Linked DNA regions of Arabidopsis thaliana. The protein of the gene in region 1 interacts with the protein of each later gene in a biochemical or structural test. Each region holds a gene or a part of one and is shown in the gene's direction. Other genes may lie near its edges.

The links. Proteins that work in one complex are often made in the same cells at the same time.
Region 2: of the proteins of SUMO3 (region 1) and CDF2, one has a biochemical effect on the other in vitro, tested with the Arabidopsis thaliana proteins (one study listed by BioGRID).

What each region holds. Positions count from the first base shown.
Region 1 is NC_003076.8:22,384,295-22,391,167, reverse strand, and holds SUMO3 (small ubiquitin-like modifier 3), read left to right. Parts: upstream 1-4,962; 5' UTR 4,963-5,096; coding exon 5,097-5,171; intron 5,172-5,348; coding exon 5,349-5,498; coding exon of another isoform or gene 5,499-5,589; coding exon 5,590-5,700; 3' UTR 5,701-5,911; downstream 5,912-6,873. Other genes in the region: AT5G55180 (O-Glycosyl hydrolases family 17 protein), read right to left, coding at 607-652, 899-2,183, 2,268-2,334; SUMO2 (small ubiquitin-like modifier 2), read left to right, coding at 6,396-6,467. UniProt on the Arabidopsis thaliana protein: Ubiquitin-like protein which can be covalently attached to target lysines as a monomer. Does not seem to be involved in protein degradation and may function as an antagonist of ubiquitin in the degradation process.
Region 2 is NC_003076.8:15,874,563-15,883,215, forward strand, and holds CDF2 (cycling DOF factor 2), read left to right. Parts: upstream 1-4,163; 5' UTR 4,164-4,357; coding exon 4,358-4,591; intron 4,592-5,010; coding exon 5,011-6,150; 3' UTR 6,151-6,217; exon of another isoform or gene 6,218-6,519; 3' UTR 6,520-6,975; downstream 6,976-8,653. Other genes in the region: DAU2 (transmembrane protein, putative (DUF679)), read left to right, coding at 703-1,437. UniProt on the Arabidopsis thaliana protein: Transcription factor that binds specifically to a 5'-AA[AG]G-3' consensus core sequence. Regulates a photoperiodic flowering response. Transcriptional repressor of 'CONSTANS' expression.

The sequences.
Region 1 (6,873 bases):
GAATAATAACAGACTTCACAACTATAAAAGCATTAAAGCTATTCTTGGTTCTGAAGATTCCATATCAAAAGACTTGATGAGTTTTCATGTAGTATAATGTATTCACAGAGCTTTGTGACAAACTATAACTCAAAACCCATTTTTCGAGTTACAGGCTTCTATATGGGAGTTGGTAGTGTAGTCGTAGCTCAATTGATGGTAGGCGCTAATCAAGTTTGATGAAGTAGGCAGCTCAAGGTTTTGACTCTGGAGTATTGGAATGAAACAATATGGACAATATATACTGTTGAGTTTTGCTTGGATCATGATCAGTTGATCACCAGCAAAACGAATCAATTTGAGATTTTGAAAATAATATTGCAATGTTGTTTATTGGATCAGTTGCAGGATATAATGGTTTATATCAACAAAGTTTTGTCAGTTTTATAAACTCACGAGCAAAGAAGTTAAGGCTTAAGGGGGAAAGAAAATCTGACTATTTATCCGATGAAACCAACCAAATATACAATAATAAAAATAAATATACGCAAATCATATACTCGAATGACAAAAGAACAATGTATCAAAATAAATAACGTAAATAAATCCGCACGATCCTCTTCTTCTCTATATCCATTTCAATGCCCTGTTGGAAACTCGCATTTCCCATACTCTACAAACACATAACCAACAAAAAATAATTAATTTAGTTTACGTTTCCGTCTATACGTCACAATTTAATTATAAATCTGTATACGTAAGTGAAGCCCAAAAAAATAACATTTGTTGTTAAACCATCCCAACTCCCATAATTATTATCTAACCATCTTCCAACTATTAAGAACGTGAAAATAACTATACTGTATATGCAAAATACTTACTAATCAAAATAAAATTTTGGAGAGGAAAGATAGGGTACTTACTAGGAGGTTGCGAGACCACGTACGCTGCACCACCAAAATTACACGTGCCAACTCCACGTGCGTTCTTCTGATAGTAACTGTTGAACGCGTAGGAAGCGTGAGCTTCTAACGATTCAGGATTATAACACGTGGCACCCGGTTGAATCGGACGGCAATCAGCACCTCCTTCGCCACAAGCGTAGTCGAGACCTTCCTGAAGCTTCTCCTTCGTCGTTTTACCATTCGCCACACACCACGTCTGTCCCACGAGCGACGGTTTCACCGGAACAACCTTCTCTTTGTTATCGTTGACCGGCGTTGACTTACCGTTGAGCGAAACGTCATACACTTTGTTCTCGTTTGGGTAAAACAACCCGTAGTTTCTCTCAGAAGTCGGACCCGTTTTCTGATTCTCGTTAAACAGAGCGAACAGATAAACGTTTAGTGGCTCCTTCGGTTTTAACGGCGTTCCGTTTCCCGTCAACACTCTTTTAACTAACCCGCCGTTATACGCCGCCGCGTTAGCCGAACCAGCACCAATCTCGTTCTCGTCTCCGGCAGAAGGCCAGCCTGTCTCTGTCACCACAAGCTTAACGTCGTTAAATCCAACGGCGGACATTGCGGCGAAAACGGCGTCGATCTGAGCGTCTAAGAGACTGTTATACTTCAAACCGTTACCGGAATCAACATTCCCGGCGTTCTCCTTAAACAACGCGTAATCCAACGAGATCTTATCGGCGTTAGCTGCGTAAGCAAAGAAAGGATAAGCATTCACCATAAGATGCGACGACGTTTTGCGGAGGAGATCAAGCATCGGTTTAATAACCGGTTCGATTAACTCCGGTTTAAACGAACCAGCCGACGGTGGATACGAACTCGCCAACGCGCTTAAAGCAATCGGCGACGAGATCTTAATGGATTTGTCGAGATTGAACTTGACGAGAGAGCTTTGAACATTCTTCATAGCTGGAACGAGATACGTCGTCGTGTTCCTCGGATCGACGAACACTTCGTTCCCAACGGCGATTGCTTCGATATCCGTCGCTGGAATGTACTTCTTTATGTTGTCCTGAACCCAAGTGTCGGTGTAGCTCTGATCTGCGGCGGCGGAAGCGAGGTTTTCGTTGGGGAGAGAGACAACGACTTTGATTCCGGAGTTCGCGAGTGCGGTTAGTACAGTTGTCTCGGTGTCGTAAAGCTTGATGCGGTTGATTCCTTGTGTTTTCAGTAGCTCAACTACTTTCTCCGGTGCCGGAAGATTGTCTGCTATACGGCCGTAGTTAACTCCGATCATTCCAGAATCTGATAAGAAGACAAAAACAAACAAAGACATCAGAATCCAAACAAACTAAACTCTGTGGAGAGATGATGAAAATGAGAACTAACCTGCATAAGTGAATGGAATGGCTGAGAAGGAAGAGAGTATGAGTAGAGATAAAACGAAGACCGCCATTGTTGTGTATAGAGAGATAAATAGAGAAAGGTTTCAGTTTTTGTATTCCGGTGAAGGAGAAGCTAAAGATGGTGTTTATATAGAGAGACGAAGAAGAAGGAGAACGAGGGAGGTGGATGTAGTGGGTAGGACCCACGTGAGATATTGGGGATGACTTTGTTTTTTTTAACTGTACGGTTTTGTGATGTAAATATTTCAACTCGATGACGTGTCTAAAGTAAATATTATTTTAATTGTGGATTTGACCGTTTCAGTCGTGTACTGATTGGAGATTGTTGTACCAAATGTTGTCAGAGATTGTGGGGGTACGTGCCAAAATTAGCATTCACTTTTAATTAATTAGGGTCGATTTTACTGCAGCTTTTTTCCTTTTTTGGGGGATTTTATTAACGTTATGTTCTGCATAAAATGAATTGTATAACAAAACGAATTTGTTTAGACATACAATTGCATTTGCAACAACACTTTTAATACGTTCCATAATTATTGGGATTTGGGCACTGAGGCAAATAAAACATGTAGTATCAGCTGGTAATAAATACCTATTAATCACTGGTTGAAAACAGCTGCTAATTATCCGTTAAAGTTAGGATTAATAGGTGAAAAAAACTGGTCGGAGGAGTGATAATTATTAATCGATAATGTGATGCATTGATTGGTCGGAATTAGAATTATTATGTAAATTAATGGTAACTGGGTCTCGTCGAGAAATGAAGAATCTACAATGGGGCCATGTGTCATTCATTGTTCTATACATGTACCAAATTTTGAACGTTGAGCTCTCTGATTTCCAACGTCTCTTTTTCGTACGTCCTAAATATTCCGTCCTTTTTATTATTATTTTGAATGGTTGGAGTTATTATGTTAATAATTGTGTTTAGATATGTTTCGATAAATTTGTAAATCCAAGTATAGATTTATATGAAATATTTGATAGTAACATTGACTGATTCACAAGTTGGTTGTAACTAATATTTTGACTTAGCAAATTGGGCTAATGAACGCGTTTAGATGTGCGGAGGAAAAATGAACATTTTAAGGTTAGCTAAGCTAAGCAAACACCTCAAATTATTTTCCAGTAGTATAATAATGAATTAATCTAAATGGTCCATCTCCGTCCATGGATAAACAAAAAACGATATTTGTAGAGTTTAGTTGTCCTATACAAATAGAACTCTATCGCTAAGCAATTAATGTTTCCTTCTGATGTAAAACCAAGAATTTTGGATGACATTTACGGCTAGTTTTACTAATTACTTGGTGAAAGATGCTTTTTAGATTTATTTGAATTTAATAATTGTGGCCGAATATTAACGGTTATGTACATATAGGCATAGAATGTTAATACACATACGGTAATTACTACTACAGTTTGAAATATAGTTTTATCTTCGGTGATTGAGACCTGAATAATGAAACTAATTAAGAGTAGACATCATAATAACTCCACTATCAAAAGAGAAAATAATAGACATCATCATTTGGTAATATTGTATTTGATGATTATATACATGTTTTTGTTTGTGTATCAACTTGTCCACTAGGTGGTAATCTTATATGTATCAATGTATGCTGGTTTACATATACTTTAGTATAACAATTTAATTTTTGGATTATGAAAGTAACAATAATTTAATAATGTATCTATGGAGGTTGTCGACATCGTACGGTATGTTTCGACAAGGCCCTTAAGTCTTAAGTCGGTACATGAAATTGAAAATGAAACACAATGACAAGTCCATATGAAAATTGAAAACATTATAATATCCAGAGAGGTGTGTCACCTTCAGATTGACTTATTTGTAACTATTATGAGTTTATGACGAATTTCTAAATATAAACGTTAACTAATATATTCGTATAAATATAACATCATCATTATTAGTTTCTTATCAACCAAGAGAAAGAATTCAATGTGGTAGGTCACTTGGATGCTGTCCAACAAATTGAGTTTTAGATAGGAATGTTAGCATTGTCCCTGATCTTTACGTTACGATACAATGCCTATTAGTTTATCAAATTAAAAACTGGAAATATATTATGTCGGGCCGAAATAGAAGTCGTCACGAAACATAGACTAACCATTTACACACTATGACGGTCGACGTACATTATTTTTTAATATTAAATAATAACCATGCATGCATTAGAAGTTTAGAACATCAAGAAATATATAAATTTTATAAAGAGAGCTTGCCCTAAACTTTGTCAAATAATATCATAATTTTGAGTTTCTTTTTAAAATACCACAAAAGTTATGTTTGCTAAGATTTTTAAAAGTTTCTAACTGTTGTATTTTTTTTGAAATTATTAGATTACCGTGGTAATTAGATTTTATTTTTAAATATGATTTATAAATTTTCTAAAAACTATTTGGTCGGTTCACGAAAATGGGTTCCAACTTTATATACTGTGTAGAAGTAATTAAGCCCACATATGAGCATATTTGATCTTAAACCAGCCCAATAGCCCATTACGAATGCTTGATTAAACGGCAGTGTTTTCATGTACGAATTCCACGCTCTCCTAGCCGTCGGATGATAAGCTACAATGATTATGAGCCGTTCGATATATCACCACAAGAATCTGTAGATCAAAAGTGAGTGCGATCAAGAACTGGTTTCAGTCACTTTTTTGACAAGTCTCTCTTTCTCAAAAGTCAACCCCTTATTTTGCAATACTGTATTGTGAATCTCTCTATCAGGCCTTCGTATTTCTCACAGACTGGAGTTTTTGTTTCATAAAATCTGATAAAAGGAAAGATGTCTAACCCTCAAGATGACAAGCCCATCGACCAAGAACAAGAAGCTCATGTCATTCTCAAGGTCAAGAGCCAGGTTTTTTCACTGTGTTCCCTCTTTAATCTCCTTGAAATTTTCTGTCGTTGCTGCTTGGTTGATAATACTATATATACAGTTTCTTGATATGAAAACTTTGATGATACTCTTTTCCAAACTGTGATGATCTAAAGTATAGAGTGATTAAAATCTTTTTTCTTGATTGGTGATACTAAGGATGGAGACGAAGTCTTATTTAAGAACAAAAAAAGCGCTCCACTTAAAAAGCTCATGTATGTTTACTGCGACCGCCGAGGTTTGAAATTAGACGCATTCGCTTTCATTTTTAATGGAGCTCGTATAGGTGGCCTGGAGACTCCAGATGAGGCAAATCACTCTCTTTTTCATTTCCCTTTTACAATTTATATGTTTGTCAAAAGTGTATCATTTACTAAACCAAGATTCTCCAATTTTAAAGCTTGATATGGAAGATGGAGATGTGATAGATGCGTGCCGGGCGATGAGTGGTGGTCTACGAGCAAATCAGCGTCAGTGGTCTTATATGCTTTTCGATCATAATGGGCTTTAATTAGGAATAATTTGGCTGGCTTTGTGATATTTGACTACTTTCTTCAAGCAAAATTACTTGAAGTTTAAATCATGGTCGGTTATCGTGTGTGTAAATGACTCATGAGTGATTGGATCTTATGAATTATGATATTAATGGTATCTGGTTACGGATTTTTAGAATCTTTGTACTTTGTTAATTTTACAACCGTGAATAAACAACTCATCAAAACCTCTAAAACTCAAGTTGGCTAATTGTAAAAGGTCACACAACAAAACCATATTAAACAATTGAAATCTTTACTGGTTTGATCAAAATCAAACGGTTCACTTTGAACATCTTCACTTTTCCCAACTCAAACAAATCTACTCGAAAGCTGAGATTTTCACATTTTAAAATTCTTGGGTAGACACAGAAGTAACCAGCCCATTTGAGCCCATTAAGAATGCTAAAACGACATCATTTTAAGTTAGAGATTATACTCACTCACAGCCGTCGAATGATATAGATCAATGATTATGAACCGTTAGATAAACAAGAATCCGATGCGACCAAAGATAGTGGTTTCAGTCTTTTTTATTCTCTGCCGAGTCTCTCTCTCTCCCTCAAACCCTCAAGTTCTGCAATCCCGCGAATCTCTCTTAGGGCTTCGCTTATATCGCAGATCGAAGTTCTTGTTTCCAATCGCCGACCGTATAATCTGATAATAAAGTAAGATGTCTGCTACTCCGGAAGAAGACAAGAAGCCTGACCAAGGAGCTCACATCAATCTCAAAGTCAAGGGACAGGTTTTCTATTTCTCACTCACTCTCTCGACTTCTATTTCTTGCATTGTGTAACGATTCGTTGTCTGGTTAAAGTTTTGAGTGTGATTAGGATCTTTATAGCTTCTGATTGCTTCAATTCTAGGGTTTTGAGTTTGTCTGCGTTATTCCCAATTTCTATTCTGGTTAGCTTGTCTATGAGGTAGTGATTATTGTGTAAGCGTGACTTTTAATTGGCTTAAATTTGAAGCAAACAAAAGTTATCTGAGAATTGTGAATTATGTTTTGACTCATAATTGTAGCAAACAAAACATTACTACTCTTGTATGTGTGAGGGTGTGTATTGGTGGAGACAGTGATTATCTTCGAAGAAATTGTTGTAATGTTGTGAGTTGTGACTAAGCTAACAATTTATAACCTTGAACTCTCA
Region 2 (8,653 bases), 6.5 Mb from region 1:
AGCATCTCTTTATTAATTAACTTTATCGATTTAACTAGACTTTATATCCTATGGATTTAAATGGTTCAGATAATTAAGAAATCCACCCCAAAACACTTGGATGCGATTCTATCGGAAAAGATCGGATCAACTGATAAGAACATATAAATAAAAATTAAAGTTTATTAGCTAGTTTTTTTTTTTTTTTTTCACTGATGAACAAAAACCGTGGAACCAATGAAATTCGTATAAATGGGCTTCATAAGTGGCCCAAGCCTTGTTCCTTGAAAGGGCAGTTCTGCCATAGCTAATTTTTTTTAATCAAGCCCAAATATGGTTTGTCCGTAAATGAGGGATTTCCTTTTACCCAAATCCACCGGAAAAGTATTAGAGACAAATACATCATCTCTTAAGTAATGTTTCATTTGATAGAATAATAACTTGCGGAAATTTTCTTTAAGAAACACATGGCTTGGGCCAATTCATGGACTTCAAGCCCATTTACACTAATTTCATTTGTTCCACGTGGCTTGTTATCAGAGAGAGCAAGAATTCTAAAACCTTTCCCACATAAACCGTCGTCCGATGAAACTCTATAACCGTCAATAACCGCCGCGATTTGAAAAATAAATACAAAAATCTCATTCTCCATTAAACCATTTAACACAACATACGAAAAACTGGTAAATCACAAAAGAAAAAAACAGAGAGAAACACACGAAAATGGAGAAAACAGAGGAAAGCGTCGGAATCAGAGTTTACACGGCGACTCCGCCGCAAAAACCATCACCATCACCACCTTCTCGTTCACCAAAACCCGTCTTAATCTCTTCATTGCCTTCCCTCCCGTCAGGAGCCGCCGCTGGAGGAGGAAGAGGTCGAAAACGTCGCATGGTGGCGCAAGGAGTTCAAAAAACGGTTTCGAAGACATCAATGCTCGTCAACTTCCTTCCGACAGGAACACTCTTGATGTTCGAAATGGTTCTTCCATCAATATACCGTGACGGAGACTGTAACGGAATCAACACACTCATGATTCATCTCCTCTTGCTTCTTTGCGCAATGTCTTGTTTCTTCTTCCATTTTACCGACAGTTTCAAAGCATCCGATGGGAAGATCTACTACGGTTTCGTGACGCCACGTGGACTCGCGGTGTTCATGAAACCGCCGCCTCCAGAGTTTGGTGGCGGAGATGTTATAGCGGAGGCAGAGATTCCGGTGACTGATGATAGGTATAAGTTGACGGTTAATGACTTTGTTCATGCAGTGATGAGCGTTTTGGTGTTTATGGCGATTGCGTTTTCGGATCGAAGAGTCACGGGATGTTTGTTTCCAGGGAAAGAGAAAGAGATGGATCAAGTTATGGAGAGTTTTCCAATAATGGTTGGAATTGTTTGTAGTGCTTTGTTTCTTGTTTTTCCGACCACTCGATATGGTGTTGGTTGCATGACTGGTTAATTTATTTTCACTTTTCTGTTTTTTGGTTTGTTTTAGTATCTATTTCGTATTTTCCTTGTAATTTAGATTATCTGATTTAAACTCCAATGTTCTACTATTTTTATCTATTGTATTGTTAAATAAAATGTTGTGTTGATTCTATCTAGACTTGTTTGATAGGAGGAGTACATTATGACGTTAGTAAAAGCTTCCTCAATGCAGTACTTTTTTTGTTAAGATCTCAAACTATGCAATTAATTACCAATTGAGTCCGTGATGTAGTGGAGGCCAAAAAAAAAAAAAAGAGTCCGCGTGGGCTTTGTCCTTTTTGTTGTGTAGGCATGTCATGTTGGCCCAAAGTCTTAATCTCCACGTTGTGTTTTGTATCTATTTTATTTAGATTAGATTATGAGTTCTTTAGATTTGAGCTTATCAACCCCTGAGTTGTATAAGTGTTCATTGTCTTCAGTTTCTGATGAATTGATAGGATTAAAAAGTGATTTTTTTTCATAACACGTTCCTTGTTTCGGCACTCTTTCAAAGATATCAACATAGTCAAGAAGACGAGAAGGTCCCTTGTTCATATCCCGCAATTCTACAAAGAACCAGCGTTATCAAAGACTAACAAGAAGAAAAGTGACAAAATATAAGATTGGAAGAAAGAAGAAAAAAGAGAAGAAGAAGAAATTTCAAATATGTGAGGGATCGAACAAACCAAAATACTAGTATTTATATGGTTATGCTTTGATATCATGTCAGAAAATTCATCAGTATGAAAAGAAAATTCTTAATTTTATTGATTAGCCAGTAAAATTATCTACATAAACACATAACTTGATCTACAAATTTTCTATAAATACGAAGATAAAAAGTCTACCCAATTAGCAATAATGAAATGGAGTTTTGTTTTTCCTAGTAACGATATGAAAATTTATTCGAATCAATCTTGTATTGTAATATTCGAAATTTGATCACCATGTTTTCATTAAGCAAAAATTCTCCGTTTTCACCAAGAGTCACTTAATGAACTTAGCCAGCTTTTACAATATAGTTCATTCAAGTTCTTTTTTTTTTTTTTTTACAATATAGTTCATTCAAGTTCTTTTTTTTTTTTTTTTTACAATATAGTTCATTCAAGTTCTTTTTTTTTTTTTTTTTTACAATATAGTTCATTCAAGTTCTAATTCGAGAATGTTCAAGTCATGTGATATATCAACGAGACTTGTTTTTATACGAAAAATGCTAATTTTAATAAAACAAAACTCAAATAACGTTTCTTTAGTTCGGGGAAACAGTCGAAAAATGATAAAATATGTTTCCTAAGAATCTTTATCAGTCGTGCCTCCAAGTGGGGATAATATAATAAATGTAATGAAAAAACTTTATTATATAGTATATATTTGTGATTTGGGGTGGTCTGAAATAAAGGTACTATATACTTATCCACATAATTGCACTTTTTCAATGTTAGACTTGGCGTTCAATTACTTCTTATCCACAATATTGCACTTTTTCCAAATCGACTTGGCGTTCATTAGTAACCACAACTTCTAACATCGACTTATTACAGCCACGTATCTCTGATATGTTGAAGATTTTATGACAAGAATATAGGCAAAAAAGAGGAAAGAAACTGAAGATCCACTATATAGTAAATACTTGTAGCTTCATTTAAAAAAAAGAAAGTGATTTCAATGTTAATTTATTTTTCCTACAAGTACCAAGCTAAAACTGTAACTAAATGACTATTATTATCAGCGTAAAAAAACACATACTCCTTTTGTTTTTTTTTTTTGATTTTCTAGAAAAAAATTGTTTCAAAAAGATTGATTTTTTGGTTTTCAATGCAATATTTATTTAGTTATAATTGATAAATTGTAAACTTCAATAAGAATTATTGAATATCATTGGTTTAGAGTTATTGAAAATTATAAATTACAAAGAATAATACATTTAAAAGCAACATTTAATATGTTTTCTTAATATTTGTGTTTTTCCTAAAAAATCAAAGAAAAAAGAACACAAGGAGTATCAATCTGTAAAATGGATTTGTTTGAAGACAAAGATTGGTTTTTTTGGGGATAAAATACTATATTTTTTTAGTATTTTAATTTTTTGTTGGATCTTCTTAGTTCTTTAAAAATGAGAAAATTAATGTTTATATCATGTAATTTGTTTCTTTCATAAATATGTTTTTTTTTTCTTTCTCTCCAAATCTAATCATGATATTGTTTTCCATGGATATGGCTATTATAGAAAGCTAGGAATTAAAAAGTGTTTCAAGGTTTTAAATATGTTTTTTGTTTGTTACTCTAAAGTTTGTTTTTTCTTCTGAAATTTCATTTATAAACAGTAATTTTTTAATAAATGTGTGGGTAACAAAAAATTTATTGACATAGTTAGAATTAGAAAACATGTAAATTAGAAGTTAAATGGCCTTTAATCAACCATTTTTACATTAATTTAAAAAAATTCAGACTTTTAAAATAAAAAAGTTAAAAATGAAAAGAAAAGTAAAAGTAAAAAAAAGTGCTGACCACTGACCAGATTGAAAAGGAAAATAAAAAGAAAGCCAAAAAGAGACGAAAAAGAGAAAAAAAAAAGTCCACAAAAACAAAAATAAACTTGTGGCTAAGAATCCTCACGTGTGATGACGTGGCACTCTGGGCGAATCAAAAGGTTGTACAATTCGAAAGATCACAAACCCAAAAAGCAAAATCTGTAAATCTTTTTTCTTTCTCTCTCGCAAAGACAAAAAAGCATTCCCAATTAACAAATCTAGAAATCAAAACTCAGACAACCACCGATAACAAGACAGTCGTTTCTCTCTCTCTTTTAAACAAATAAAAATTGGAACTTTTTTCCTCTGTCTTCTCAAAAAGTTTCCGCTTTTTGCTCGCTGGAGAAGAAAGAAAGAAAGAAGTGAAAAGGAATCATTACCATGGCTGATCCGGCGATTAAGCTCTTTGGAAAGACGATTCCTTTACCTGAGCTTGGTGTTGTTGATTCTTCTTCTAGCTATACCGGATTTTTAACCGAAACTCAGATTCCTGTTCGGTTATCAGATTCGTGTACCGGCGATGATGATGATGAAGAGATGGGTGATTCCGGTTTAGGACGAGAAGAAGGTGATGATGTTGGTGATGGTGGAGGAGAGAGCGAGACTGATAAAAAGGTTAGTTTTTTTTGGAACTTGTGAATTGATTTTGATTTGTTAAATGGAAATGATTGATGGGTTTATGTTAGATTGGTCAAATCTTAGTTTTATTGATAAAGTTATGATTTTTGGTTTGTTTATGTAAGAACTAGGTTTTCAGAGCTTTTGGGGATTCGAAAATTGTAAATCTGGATTCTCAAATGAGTTTTTTTTTTTCCTTTTGTTATAAAGTGATTTGAGATCTTAATTAGTTCCATTTGGTTTTGATTGATGGTTATAGGTTTTGATATTGATTTGCTTAAGAACTTTTCAGGGTTTTAGCTTCTCTGTGATTGGAATCAAGTCTTTGATCCCTGTAGCTTCTAGCTTCTGTTTGTTGTTTGTTTGATTAGGATACATAACAACGATCTGACTCTGGTTCTTATGTTATTCTTCAGGAAGAAAAAGATAGTGAGTGTCAGGAAGAGTCATTGAGGAATGAATCTAATGATGTTACTACTACTACATCGGGTATAACTGAAAAAACGGAAACAACAAAAGCTGCAAAGACGAATGAAGAGTCAGGTGGTACTGCTTGCTCTCAAGAGGGGAAGTTAAAGAAACCTGATAAGATTCTACCGTGTCCGCGATGTAACAGCATGGAAACCAAGTTCTGTTACTACAACAACTATAATGTTAACCAACCTCGCCATTTCTGCAAGAAATGTCAGAGATATTGGACAGCTGGTGGAACGATGAGGAATGTTCCGGTTGGTGCTGGGAGACGTAAGAATAAGAGTCCAGCTTCTCATTATAACCGTCATGTAAGTATAACATCTGCGGAAGCTATGCAGAAGGTGGCGAGAACTGATCTTCAACATCCTAATGGTGCAAATCTTCTCACTTTTGGCTCTGATTCTGTGCTTTGTGAATCTATGGCTTCTGGATTGAATCTTGTTGAGAAGTCATTGTTGAAGACACAAACTGTATTGCAAGAACCCAATGAAGGCTTGAAGATTACGGTTCCGTTAAACCAGACAAACGAAGAAGCTGGAACAGTCAGCCCGTTACCAAAAGTTCCATGCTTTCCAGGACCACCACCAACTTGGCCTTACGCTTGGAACGGAGTTTCGTGGACGATTTTACCGTTTTACCCTCCACCGGCTTACTGGAGCTGCCCGGGGGTTTCACCGGGGGCATGGAACAGCTTCACATGGATGCCACAACCCAATTCACCATCTGGTTCCAATCCAAATTCTCCTACACTAGGTAAACATTCACGTGACGAGAACGCTGCTGAACCAGGAACCGCTTTTGATGAAACCGAGTCACTTGGTAGGGAGAAAAGCAAACCCGAGAGATGCTTGTGGGTTCCCAAGACGCTGAGGATTGATGATCCAGAGGAAGCTGCTAAAAGTTCCATCTGGGAAACATTAGGGATCAAAAAAGACGAAAATGCGGATACTTTCGGAGCTTTCAGATCATCAACCAAAGAAAAAAGCAGTCTTTCTGAAGGAAGACTTCCGGGAAGAAGACCGGAGTTGCAAGCGAATCCTGCTGCTCTTTCTAGGTCAGCAAACTTCCATGAGAGCTCATAGAAAGAAGAAGAATCTAAGCAGCTGATTTGATTGTTTTTGGGTTCAGTCTTGTGTTCCAAGAAAGCAGGTGAGTCCTTTTGTACATATAGCTATATATACACACACATGTTTGTGTATATATATATAATGGTTGACATAGTGAGGGATAAGTAGTTTTTGGATTGCAGAGTGAAAGTTTGTTGTATCATAAATGAAAAAACCTCAAAACTGTAGTTAAATAAATGTATCTTGCATGAATAACTTATTTTCCCTATCATGACATTGTATGTTCACAGACAAATTCAAACAAGTTTAAAGGAACGTTTATAGTTATCCACATGATGTATGATTCTCAGAATCTTGAGAGTGATCTAACTTATTGGACTTCAGTAGTAGTGGCAGCAACAAGCTTGTTTTCGGCATCCGCGGAGGAGCGAACCACTGTCTTCAACTTCTTAGATGACCGCGATGTCAAGTGTTTACCATGGTAAATCAGGTTTGCTTTAGTAGATGTGTAGTCATTCTTATAACCAGTCCAAAAATCACCCAACAAAGACATGAACCAAGTCTCGAAAAAGCAAGCCGCGATCACCAATACTGCGAAAATAACGCAAACACAGCTTCTTCACTGCAAGCAAATGGTCATGGTTGATGCATGAATGGAGAGTCTATTGACAACATACATAAGCAAAAGCAATGTGGTAGATGCATGAAGAGAAGATATTGCAAGCTGCCAACTACGGTTCGATATTTGTATAATCTAGGATTAAAAATATTAAAGAAACCACACTAAATGGATTGACAAAGTCAGCTATATCAGAAGATTTATCGTCTATTGACCAAAACAACCAATGAAAGAACATTTTGATACTATATTAAGAGATAAGTAGTAAATTAATATAGAAGAAGTTTGTGAAAAACGCCAAAAGAAAAAGAAAGCCACTACCTTGTTTGTTCAGTTGCAATTTCCAGGAAATTTAGTAAGGAAATTAGTTGCAATTGTGACATTAAATTCGTGTTAGTCTTTTTCATGACTAGAACAATAAGAGTACTATTGAATTAGTCATCGTTTAATTGATTTCTTACGTTTGGTCAAACAAGTCACGGATTATGGTGAGAAAACGATTACTTAATTGTGGAAATTAGCTATAAGAAATTTTCCTTTGCTTTTTATGTTTTTCTTAGTCTACTTGTTTGTCTCGCTGCCTTACTCTTGCAAAATTTATACGAAATTTCGTCTGAATATTTTACATAAAGTAAAGTAAGTATTCATATGAAATTTGTATCAAAATTTGTCAAGACTAGTAAGAATGAACTGAACCACACAATACAACAATTCAAACCATGACCAAAAATATGTCGATTTGGTTTAGAAAACAAATAAAACCTCTAAAAAACCTATAAAACCAAAAAGATACTCCTTCTATATATATTTTGGAGATTTTTTTCCAATTTATATTATAAGATGTATTCAACTTTCTACGAAAATTATATATTAATATTTTATAATCATTTGTATTGTGCAGTTTTTTTTATAATTGGTAAATTTTTAAAAATTTAAATATTTCTTAATTTACGTGTTTTTAGTCAAAACATCTTATACCTACATATACATTTTTGCAGCCATTTTATGAAATAAATCTTGTAGTTGGAAATAATTTACAATGGCTGCCACTGAATTTTAATGTTTGTTTTTGATAATTAGAAAAAAAATCTTCGAATTAAATATTTGACATTTAACAACCTTCCCTAAATCTCTCCACATTAACTACACAATTAGTTACTAAAATAAAACTTCCAAAATATTTAATATCATTTAATTACTACAAAATTATCATTTTTAATATTGCTTTTCTCCATGACTATAACAATTCGATTATAATCATCAAACCGCAGAGATATTTGATAACATTTAATTACTACAAAATTACAATATATTTAGACAATAATTCATAAACATATCATAAATAAGATCAACATTAATTTAAAAATAAATAATACATTTTGCAAACTTTTATGTATACTAACTTTAAAAAATAAATTGTTCCGCGGTATACCGCGGGTTAAAATCTAGTTAACATCTTATATTTTGACAATGAAGGAGTATCCCCGACCGTATCATGTATGATATCTAAGACACACATACATATTTTAACATTTCCTTAGTTTTCTTAACAATGTAAGGGGTCACCAATCAAAACCTTAATTGTAATATATACATAGGTGTATAATACAATTTAATATTAATATGACCAACTTCTTTCCAAAAAAGTACAAAAAACAATTCCCCATCAAAGGTGCAGAAGAAATTTCCTCTTAATTCTTTATTTATTATCTTACACCAAGTCTTTTTGTAAGTTTCTCCTTTCCCTATCCTTCTTGGTCTCTTCTTCCAACTGCAACTTCCTCTCTTTTGCCTCGCCACCAAAATTGTGTCCACATTGACTTATTCATCATCTATATATACACAACCATAAAAACAAACTCATATCTCCAACATCTCCTCCAAAACATTCTTTTCCTT